Linked DNA regions of Danio rerio. The protein of the gene in region 2 purifies or fractionates together with the protein of the main gene of each other region. This does not show direct contact. Links are inferred from orthologs where the notes say so. Each region holds a gene or a part of one and is shown on either strand. Other genes may lie near its edges.

What was found.
Region 1: the proteins of cldnd1b (region 2) and golga7 purify together in Homo sapiens (affinity purification with mass spectrometry; 3 studies listed by BioGRID and IntAct, counting the BioPlex papers as one, with this or other methods). This does not show direct contact. The link is inferred for Danio rerio from reciprocal best matches to the Homo sapiens genes CLDND1 and GOLGA7.

What each region holds. Positions count from the first base shown.
Region 1 is NC_133185.1:25,240,699-25,246,862, reverse strand, and holds the start of golga7 (golgin subfamily A member 7), read right to left. Parts: upstream 3,983-6,164; 5' UTR 3,944-3,982; coding exon 3,935-3,943; intron 3,171-3,934; coding exon 3,048-3,170; intron 1,098-3,047; coding exon 945-1,097; intron 868-944; coding exon 766-867; exon of another isoform or gene 572-765; intron 1-571. UniProt on the Homo sapiens protein: May be involved in protein transport from Golgi to cell surface. The ZDHHC9-GOLGA7 complex is a palmitoyltransferase specific for HRAS and NRAS.
Region 2 is NC_133176.1:55,825,414-55,830,646, forward strand, and holds the end of cldnd1b (claudin domain-containing protein 1b), read left to right. Parts: coding exon 1-53; intron 54-1,715; coding exon 1,716-1,853; intron 1,854-2,567; coding exon 2,568-2,788; 3' UTR 2,789-3,592; downstream 3,593-5,233. UniProt on the Homo sapiens protein: Plays a role in negatively regulating the permeability of cells to small molecules.

The DNA of each region.
Region 1 (6,164 bases), on a different chromosome or scaffold from region 2:
ACCAAGAGAAGAATTTTAAAAGTGACACAGGCAACCAGTACAACTCACTGTAAAATTCTGAAAATGCTTTATCTTGTGATACAAGAACATTTAAGCAATCCAAATATTAAATTTTAATGTTCCTGAGCTCATTTACATGCATTTGGAACGTGTGCTTCCTGTTGCATAATAATGAATGAAAGCACTCAAATTGCAGTGTGTTTATATTTATTCATTTTCTTATCAAACAAAGATGTCTTAAAAGGAATGTTTTTAGTCCAAAATAATTTCTTAAATTTTCTTTAAAAAATTTAATATATACACTTTATCCACAAACATTTGCATGCCTCAGCTATGTATAATATGTATTGTGTATATTGTGTATTGTGTATTGTGTAATATGTGTGTATATGTATATATATATATATATATATATATACACACACACACACACACACACACACACACACACACACACACACACAGAGATAGATAGATAGATAGATAGATAGATAGATAGATAGATAGATAGATCTGCTTTCTATATATCCCACATTTTCCATGGCCATTAAGCTGTGAATATTATTAATACTGATGAATATGCATTAAATAGAATGTGCAATAAAATTTATAAATGTTATGAGTCCTCATAACATAATCCTGCATCTCTCTGCGACCCACTCAAAATGCTTAAAAAAAAAAATTTAATTTACAAATTTGTCAGGTCAAAAAACACCCACTTCACCCGTGAACAGACAGACATGTGAAAAAAGAGAGAAAGGATACGACCCTGAGCCCCCTCTCAATGGGGTCGGTCAAAAGAAGCCCAAGAGGAGCGTAGATCTTCTCATTTTGCTCCTGGATGAACTTAGCAATCTTTTTCAGCACCTAAACAAAACACCATAATACTGAATTCCATATCTAAGTCATATTGATGATATCCACACTAAATGATGATATCTCACTTTCTCATAGTGTGTTTCCATGCAGAGGAAGATTGTGTACGCAGTGAGACAGGCCAAACAGCCCTCCAGGTACGACCTGCCGCCCAGCTTCTCTGCTTCTGCATAGAGATTATTCAGGGTCTGTATGGTTTCCTCAAACTGCACCTTGTCAATCTGAAAAAACAAAACAATCAGACGATGTAAGTGGTGTTGCTTGACAGAGCTATTATATCTTTCCCCCTAGCTTTCCCAGTTTACCACACACACATCTGGGTAGAATTAACAGAACGAACATCTGCAAAACTCCAAAAAACCAAACTGAAGTCATCTGACTGAAAAATTAGAGCTGTCAGAATCAATAAAACAATTCTTTAGATGAATTTGACATCTGTAAACATTGTCCTTCGCTGTTTGCCATAAGGGTGTGTGATGTTTATAGATAATATTGTAACTGTTGTTTTAATGATGTGCAAGCTGATTTTATCTCGTATGTCATTTATTTAGCAATAAAACATGTTTTGAGAGTCCAAAAACTATACTAGTTCATAAAGCCTTTCAGAATGCTGGGAAAATGACTATAATTCAGTTTAAAAAAGCAAAAAATTGTGTATGCGTTTATTTGTTTTTTCACAAATATAGAAATAATTTTACACATGTAGATTTTAGTTATTACTTGTATATAGTCATTATTAGGCAGAATCTGTGTGCACAGATATCCACAGATTGTTTTGCCCATCATTGGCTGGGTTTCCACTATCGTGCCTAAAGCGAGCGAGCCAAGGCCAGTCGCTTTTCCACTGTCACTTTGGGGGCCTAATCGGGCCAAATCGAGGCTTTCTTGAGGCCAGCGGTCAGCCTTTTTCAACCCGCTGAATACCTTGGGGCAAAGAGGGCCAAATGGGGCTTCGGGGCGGAGTGAAAGGAGGGGCGGAGTGCAGACACAGTTTTCCGATCGCACACGAGTACATGCATCAAACAAATAAATAAATAAGGGAAAGAAAACATCTAGCCTTATAGGCTAGGGTCTTTTTGAGTATGATCACCCCTATGACTGTTTCCTTTTCAAATGTAAGGTTGTTGCAGAAAATAATAAAGTTTTAATTTATAAGTGACTTTTCTTTGCTGCGTCCTCCTTGATGTTTCAATAACGCATAATAATGTTAACATCATATTAAAGACACAGCAGACAGTAAAGGTTGTCAAGAGTTTTTGTCAAGTTTAAAAGGTGTGTTTGTGCACGTTTAGATGCCTGTATGTGTGTGTGAGACCAAGCAAATAGAGCTCCCTTCACAGCTGTTGATGCCGAGTTTTTTTAATAAATCATTTGCATCAATGATCCAGTGATCAGTTCAGTCACTTGCTTGGTATCAACATCAAGAATGAATCCAACAAATCATTAGAACAGGGACTTGCCACTACCTACTTGGGTTTTAGGCAGTTTTCAAACCAGTAGATTGTTTGCTTTGTTCCGAAACAGGGATTATAGGAGTTACAAAATCGTTATGATTTGGTTTACTTGTGCAAGGCGATATTTTTAACCTGATAAATATTTGTTACGTGCAGGTTAATTATCATCTAACTGATCAGAGCACACACCTCTTTATGTTCCAGATTCTCAGTCATCTGTCAAAAAAGACACACAGCAGCTCTGCGTGCTTCATGTAGATTTCATTTTAGCTGTTACATTCCTTTATTATTTTAAAAGCTTCATCAGTGTTTTATTTGTTTTGGACATTGGTGCTAAAATTTGCAGTTCAAAGGATCAATAAGGCATTTCAGGTTGTTTTTACTCTATGATAATTCACCATTCATTCTTAGCGGCAGTAGATTGTCTTCATGCACCTTGCTAAGACTAATTGTGTCAGACTGATTATTTTGGTCTGAATTCAAGCTTGATTGCCTTCTTCACTTCTACCCAAATTAACCAACCTGAAGGTAAAAACACACTGGGTTATACAACTACATGCCAGGTGTGAAAACACTTTTAGTGCTATATTTATTTATCCACGACAGACAAAAATTAAAAACCACCACAAAACCATTTTATCACTGTTAATCCTAAATCCGAAAAAAAAAAAATTTCCTCCCCAAAGTCCCCCTTAGTTTTTTAGGACCTCTACACACCCTGCTCTCCAGTTCGGCTGGGAACTTGGTCTGAAACTTGCAGATGGTGCCACTGGTGTAATCTCTCTGAACGAAAACCTTGGAGGCGACGGCTGCTTGCCGCAGGTCCTGCAAGCTGTGCGTCTGGAGAGAGACAGAAATAACATATTATTACAAAATCATTTGTCATTTTAATACATTTCTAATAGTAAAAAGGGTATGCTTAAGGAAAAACACTTGTCCATTTTTAGACTTAATAGCAATTTCTTATTAAATTCCTGCTTTACGGAACTATTTTATGCAAGTACTTGAAAATAAATCTGTAAAACCAGTTATAATCTAAAACACAAACAATTCTGACAATTATTTCGGCTATTTAATAAAACATTTAATAAAATGTCATTTATTATTGTGATGGGAGAGTTTCATTTATCATCCTTTTCCCCTTTGTCTTCATCATCGGTGCCCAAATCATCCTTAAGAAATCCTCACATTTTGCAGATTTGCTGCTGAAACTACACTTTTTATAATTATCATAAAAACTAACCATCATTAAAAACACCGGAAATCGTGAGCATATACACCGAAACAACAAACACAACGCCCTACCTCAAACACGTAAAAATGAAATAACGCGGAGCTCGTTTTAAACTCGACAACTAGTTTTATAGTCATGTATATGCGCTGACACTGAGCGAGAGGATAGTTAACGTTAGATATCGACGTCGATAATTATCTTTGGAGACCACTAGAAAAGCGCTAACGTGTCAAATAAACGGGATTATAAACACCTGTGTGTAATCCAAATAGTTTGATAGAAAAATGTGTATTACAACGTGTGATTTTAGATGTCAATCAACTTCAGCGAATAACTGAAAAGTGTAAGATTTGATATTTTATCAACGTACCTCCGCCATAGTGGCTGCTTCTCCTCTTCCTGTTATTCAGCCTCCTCGTCCTCCTCAAAACACAGTCCGGTAGGAACTTTTACATTTATTTATTAGTTCCGATGCTAGGTCAATTCCAAACTGTACCCATTTGTTCGTCGCATTGGTAAATTTGTTCTAGATTGCAATTAAACCTTTTGTTTAGTAGCTTGGGTAGGACTATTATTAATCAAATGAGTGATCCTTTTTTAAATGTACATTTCGTTAGCCTTTTGCAAGCATAGACAGCATTGCTGTTCTAATCTCTAACAGACAGGCAGACAGACAGACAGACAGATAGACAGACAGATAAATAGATAGATATATCTTAGATAGATTAGCCCTTTTGCAAGCATAGACAGCACATCATAATCTCTAACAGACGGACAGAGACAGATAGATAGACAGACAGACAGACAAACAGACAGACAGAACACTATTTGTTTTAATGCATTACCTGGACTTCAACCACTGACCTTTGCATCTTTCAATACTCTACTTAATTGGAACCAACAGTGGAAATGTCTAATGTTAGAGGCAGGAAACGTCTAATGTTTCCAACAATTAAAACACAGAGGCGGACATTGTGTAACAGTTTCAGATGTATAATAAAGTGGCAGAAGTGTATGGCTGAAAAACAAACTCATAATTCATGTATAATGTAAGCTTTAATCCTCCTTTTAAAATAAATAAAACATCTTCAAAGTTTAGTTGCACTGCACGTAAATGAAATGTAAAACAGACATGATCTCACTACATATTTAGCATAGTAATGATGCATCTGTTTGCCAGCATTAGGACAACACCATCACAACATTTCAGGGTGGAGGACATTGTGTTCCTGAATGAGAATTTGAGAAAAGAAGTCAGCCCAGTCCGGCTTTTATTAATGGTGTTAGTTCACTTTTATCCGACACGAGCCAACTTGAAGACGACAAGGTTAATGCTAAAAACAGCCTTCATCTCTCGTGTCTTCATCTGTCTTTTTGAAATCCTACTTGGACAACCTGTACAGGGTGATATAGAACAGACAAAAATCTGTATGATTGAGAACGTAAGGAAGCTGCGGTTCAGTCAGCCTCGCATGATGAATGATTCAACGGGGGAATCATTTTTTTCTAAAAACTCCTGTGGGACACCTGAGCCATTTTTCATACCGTAGAACAGAGTTTTCTCCATCAATCTTTGCTTTTAGACAGCACTGAATCATCTCAGTACTATTAAATAAAACAAGCTTGCGGCTTACAGAGATCTGTGAAGCGGATCAGTGATGTTCTGCAGTGCAAATTTAGAAGCATTTTTATGGAGTATCTGAATCATCTGCAGTTTATCAGACAGGAATGTTTGTTTGAAATGCTGTTCAGTTCACACATGAGCTTTATTATCAGCCAAACTTTTGCACTTTTTAAAGGAATCTCCGGCTGTGAAATTGAGAACAGATTTGAAAAAACATTTATAAACATTCCAGTCTGAGAAACATCTTCTTTTAAATCATTCAACCCTATTTTGTTTGCGAATTTGTGGCCCCCGAGTGTTGCTGCAGTAGATTATGTCTTTATAGTGTGGATTGACAAGATAAATAAAAGAAAAAAAATAGCAAGATGGTTGCTGGTTCGAGCCCCAGCTGGACCAGTTGGCATTTCTGTGTGGAGTTTACATGTTCTCCCCGTGGTGGTGTGGGTTTCCTCCAGGTGCTCCGGTTTCCCCCACAGTCCAAAGACATGCGCTATAGGTGAACTGAAGAAACTAAATTGGCTGTGGTGTATGTGTGTGCATGTGAGAGTGTATGGGTGTTTCCAAGTGCTGGGTTGCAACTGGAAGGGCATCTGCTGCGTAAAACATATGCTGTATAATTTGGCAGTTCATTCATTCGCTGTGACTAAACAGACTAAGCTGAAGAAAAATGAATGAATATAGTAATTATAATATAGTTTCACCATAGTAAGATTGAAATGTGTTGCATATTTTGAAAAAAACAATTCACATACTCCAGCTTTAAAAGGGTAGTTCTCACAAAAAAATTTAATTGTGTCTTCGTTCACTCTCTCTGCTTATTTCAAACTTGGTTGGGTTGCTTTCTTCTTTTGAACAGAAAATATATTTTGATATTTTCAATAGCTTTTGTCCTTAGAAGGCAATGGCTTCCGTTTTCCAGCATTCTTCAAAATGTTTCCTTTTGTGTTCAACAAATAAAAATTAACCCAGAACTGTC
Region 2 (5,233 bases):
TAAGTATAAATCACCTGGAAATATCAACACCGGAGAAGATCTGCTGCGTACATGTATGTCCTGACTAGCATATTTCATTTTTATATTTAATTCTATATTTAAAACTATTGTAAAGTTTAGGATATATTAGGGCTGCATAATATGTTGCTTGATCACCGATATCGCAATGTGTGTATCCGCAATAGTCATATGTGGTGGAAGCTGGGGGTGACGTGGGGCAAACATATTTTTGTTGCGTGTTAGCAGACCCATGTCTCCGAACAATTCTAGTATTTGTTTGAATTACGGTTGGCAACACAACGTGGCATCCAGGGCCGGCGCGTCCATAAAGGCGACCTAGGCGGCCGCCTAGGGCGGCAGTATAGAGACGGCGGCATCCGCGACACCTCCCTTACCACCCGCGTCCTCAGTTATGTCCGCGACACCTCCCTCACCACCCGCGTCCTCAGATATATTCGCCCATAGACGACAGAATAGAGAGGGCGGCGTCAGCGACACCTCCATCAGCACCCGCGTGTCCTCAGTTATATCCGCGCATAGGGCGGCAGAATAGAGAGCGCAGTGTCCGCGAAACCTCCCTCCCTCAGCACCCGCGCGTCCTCAGTTATATCCGCGCATAGGGCGGCAGAATAGAGAGCGCAGTGTCCGCGAAACCTCCCTCCCTCAGCACCCGCGCGTCCTCAGTTATATCCGCGCATAGGGCGGCAGAATAGAGAGCGCAGTGTCCGCAACACCTCCCTCCCTCCCTCAGCACCCGCGCGTCCTCGGTTATATCCGCGCATAGGGCGGCAGAATAAAGGTCCGCGACACGTCACTTCATTTTCATAACCAGGTCACTTTCGTTTTCACATTGGGGTTGAGGGCGGCATGATCGTCCTCTGCCTAGAGCGGCAGTTCAGCTTGCTCCGGCCCTGGTGGCATCTCTCTGAACACTGTTAACGGGTAAAAAGAGTCTTCGAAGCTATACCATGCATATTAATGAAGTTGCATCTCGTTCACAATAGAGCGCACTGATTGGTTCAAACCAAGTCTTTCTCGTGAATTAATCAACAAATATGTGCTGAAAACTCAATGACGTCACTTTGTACCGGCCGGTACAGACAGCCAATTCCAGACTCCACACTCCAATGATTGCTAGTATATGTCTCCTAATAGTGTTTTTAGCAATGTAGGACACATATATGACTGTCAACATCTAAAAAAAATGTGTTTCAGTGTTTTGTGACCCTTTAACAAGCCATAGCAAGCTTGCACCAAATTTACGACCATCTGCACACAAATTTGTCAATGAACTTTTTGTGACACTCTTAAAACAGTGGTCACCAAACTTGTTCCTGGAGGGCCGGTGTCCTGCAGATTTTAGCTCCAACCCTAATCAAACACACCTGAACAAGCTAATCAAGGTCTTACTAGGTATACTTGAAACACCCAGGCAGGTGTGTTGAGGCAAGTTGGAGCTAAACCCTGCAGGGACACCGGCCCTCCTGGGCCGAGATTGGTGACCCTTGCTCTAAAACAAATACACATTAGTGTAAATATAGCCTAACACCCATACCTCCTTAGAATGCGTTGAGGTCTAATAAATATATGTATATTTGAAAAAATAAATATATATATGTACAAATATATAAATAATATTTATTCCATAATCAATAAATGTGGTCATTATTTGATTCTAGATTCATCATTCATGATTGTGATGTGTGTGTTCTCAGACCTGTGGAAGTGTCAGTTCCTGCTGCCGCTGATCTCCGTGGGTTTGGTGTTTCTCGCGGCATTAATCGGAGTGTGTGCCTGTCTGTGTCGCAGTATTACTCCAACACTGTTCGTAGGGCTGCTGCATCTGATGGCTGGTAAGACAACGGTTCATTATGTATAATAGGGGAGTAATTACAGCTACTTCCAGGAAGAAGACTGTTCAGTTCTGAACTGGAAGCTGCAACTGCTTTTTTTTCTGTATTGTGACGCAGTTCAGATTCAGATTCAGATTCAATTTATTTGTCACTACACTTTCGTATAGCGAGATTGGACCCCCCAGACCATACACAAAACATCACAAACAACTTTTCAGGGGAGACAGATCTTAGGTGGTAGCATTTAGAAACGAAGAAAGATTCATTTGGACAGTTAGGCTAAAAAACACCCCCTCAGCTTGCCCTTGATTAGGACAAAGTGAGAAAAGGGAGAGAAACGGAATGAGAAAACACCCCACGGTGGCTTGTTTTTTCTACTGCGAGCTGATTGGGTGTAATAAAGTAGGCATTTCATTCAGAAAGATTGGGTAAAGTGTTTGGGGAGAGTTTTTACAACCTAACAGACTCCTCCTCACAATGTCTGTTGTCCAAACTGACAGCTGGAGGGGTGTGGTTAAGTATGTTAGCCACGCCCGATACCTCAGATAGACATAATCTGAGAATTCAACTGAAAACAGGAAGTGTTTTCAGATTTAAATTTTGAAATGAAATGCACAGATGAATTGTTCACCATAGAACTAGCAATATAAGCTAACAAAATCAATACGGCTAGTTTTGACTTCATGTGTACTTTAACAATCATTCTACACGCAGGCCTGTGTTCCCTGGGGACCGTTTGCTGTTTCCTCACGGGACTGCATTTGCTTCATGATATATCAGAGCTGCCCGAAGGAATGGACTATTCTCCAGGCTGGTCCTTGTTTTTGGCGCTGGTGTCGTCTCCGCTTCAGGTCATGGCGGCTGCGCTTTTCATATGGGCTGCGAGGAGCCACCGCCAACACTACACTCGAATGACAGCCTACAGAGTCGCCTGAACAACCAAGGACTGACTATAAAGTTGGTGAAGTGGTTCAAGGAACGCGCACAGCCTATTCACAGCTGCTTTTGCCACTAACAAAGCTGTGATGAAGTAATGAAGGATACCATCAGCCCAAAATTAGTAAGCTAAACTAGCGCCGTCCACCTATAGCACTCCTGTGAAATACTTGCATCACTTGAAGGATCTTCCTGCTATATTACTGCCTTTTTAACCACTTATTTTAGCCTTTGTGGTAACATTTTACTTGAAGGGGTGTTCATAAGACATAATATATTTAAAGGGGGAAATTAAGCACTCAGTTAAGTTTACATTATTTTGTATATTGGATTCCACTTGAAAATATAATAAACAAACAATTAATGTAACCATTTAGCAGTAAACGGCATGTTTTACTATAGATTTTAGATCTAGGATGCTACCATCTTGGAATGTCGCTGTGTCTGACATCACAGGGTTGGTTCTGTTCCCTCAGGTGAACGGATACTGTGAAAGTAATGGACTGAAAACAAAAACTGAAACAGCCTAATTTAACCCAATGTGTGCAGTTGTGGACGTGGAGCTGGTGTAAATACAAGCATCAGATGTGTGTCTAATATAAAAATACATTTTCTATTTTTCTTTTTGCCTCTTTTAGTTACTGACTATTTGGTTCACTATCTGTATTACGCTGCCTGACTACCTGTCTGGGTTTCAAGCATGGCAGTAACGGACTGAACACAGAGACTGGACAGCCTGATTTAACCATGAAGTTGTGGATGTGCATCGCTGGTGCAAATACAAGCATTTAAGTGTCTTAAGTTGTGTAATTTTTTATTTTATTTTATTTCATTTTTTAATACCTTTTGTTTGATGCCCTGTGGTCCACTCACGCTGCTCCAGGGACAGATTAGTGCGACAATTAAAATCATACATGACTTCACGCTTTACTAAGTCACGTCTGTGTCGGTTATGTCATAACATATTCCCTTTTCAAGCTAATCAGCTCGCTCTCACAACATGTATGAAGGATAAAAATCTGCCATGTGAAAAACCGTGGCGATCTTAGTTTGGTTCGAACACGAACAGATTTGAGCAGCAGTAGCAGTGAAAAGTGAAAGTACCCGCCCCCATTATGTCAGTAGCGGACCTTGTTGAAACCCATTGACTCAGGCAGCATAATAAAGAGAGTGGACCAAAGCACATCAAATGATCAGTAATTAAAAAGAAAATAAATATCTATTTTTATATTAGACACACATCTGATGCTTATATTTGCACCAGCTTCACGCATTGTGTAATTAGGCTGTTCAATTTTCATGATCAGTCTCTTACTTCCATAGTATCTGTTCAGCTGAAGGAACGGAACCAACCCTGTGACATCAGACACAGCGGCATTCCAAGATAGTGGCGTCCTAGGTCTAAAATATGTAGTAAAATATGCCGTTTTCTGCTAAATGGTTACATTAATCGAGTTTGTTTATTATATTTTCATTAAAGTGGAATCCAATGTACAAAATAATGCAAACTTGAGTGCTCCATTTCCCCTTTGAATAAGATTTTATGAATGCTATTGGCAACTATCATTAAGAGCAATTTCGCTCAGTTTAGACATTTTAAATGCAAAGATGACATTGTTTGTAACGACAACTTAACATAAACAAATGCAACCTTTTTTTGAATTTGTCATGACAACTTGACATTACCAAAACAACAAAACCTGTCATAAATCTGTCATAAACATGATTGTCATGAGTCATTACAAATAACATGAATTTTATAACAACGTCATTCATTGATGTATATTTTTACCTCAACTACAGTGGTAAATTTGTCATTAAAACATCATCAAATATTAACGATGCTGTTAAAAAATGATTGGTCACAACTTTATTTTGATGGTCCGTTTGTTGAATTCAAGTTACAATGAATCTACATGCCAACTAATTCTCATTAGATTATAAGTAGACTGTTAGATTAGGGTTAGTGTAAGTTGACATGTACTGGCAAAGTTTCTTATAGTCTAAAATGCCTGTTGAAGGAGCAGTATCAACAGATATTAGGCATACAGTCTACTAATACTCAAATAGACCATCAAAATAAAGTGTTACCAATTTAGTAATAACACTTTTAATGAGACATATTATTGATAAATACAGCTTATTTCTCTGAAAACGTGATCAGAAAACTATTCATAACACAATTATAATGTCTTCATGACGATCATGTTTATGACAGATTTATGACAAGTTACACTGTAAACAATTCAGGTTTCCACACAATTCATTTATGTTGTCCCAACACAAACTAATCAAGTTAGCTTAATTGTTTTTTTTTTGTTTTTTTTTTACAAATTTAAGTGGATTGAACATAAAACAATTAAGTTGTGTTAAGAATTGTGATGTTTCAGCTCACGTTAAGTAAGTAGTTTTAAAAATGTGAGTATGTTGGCTTGTAAATCTCA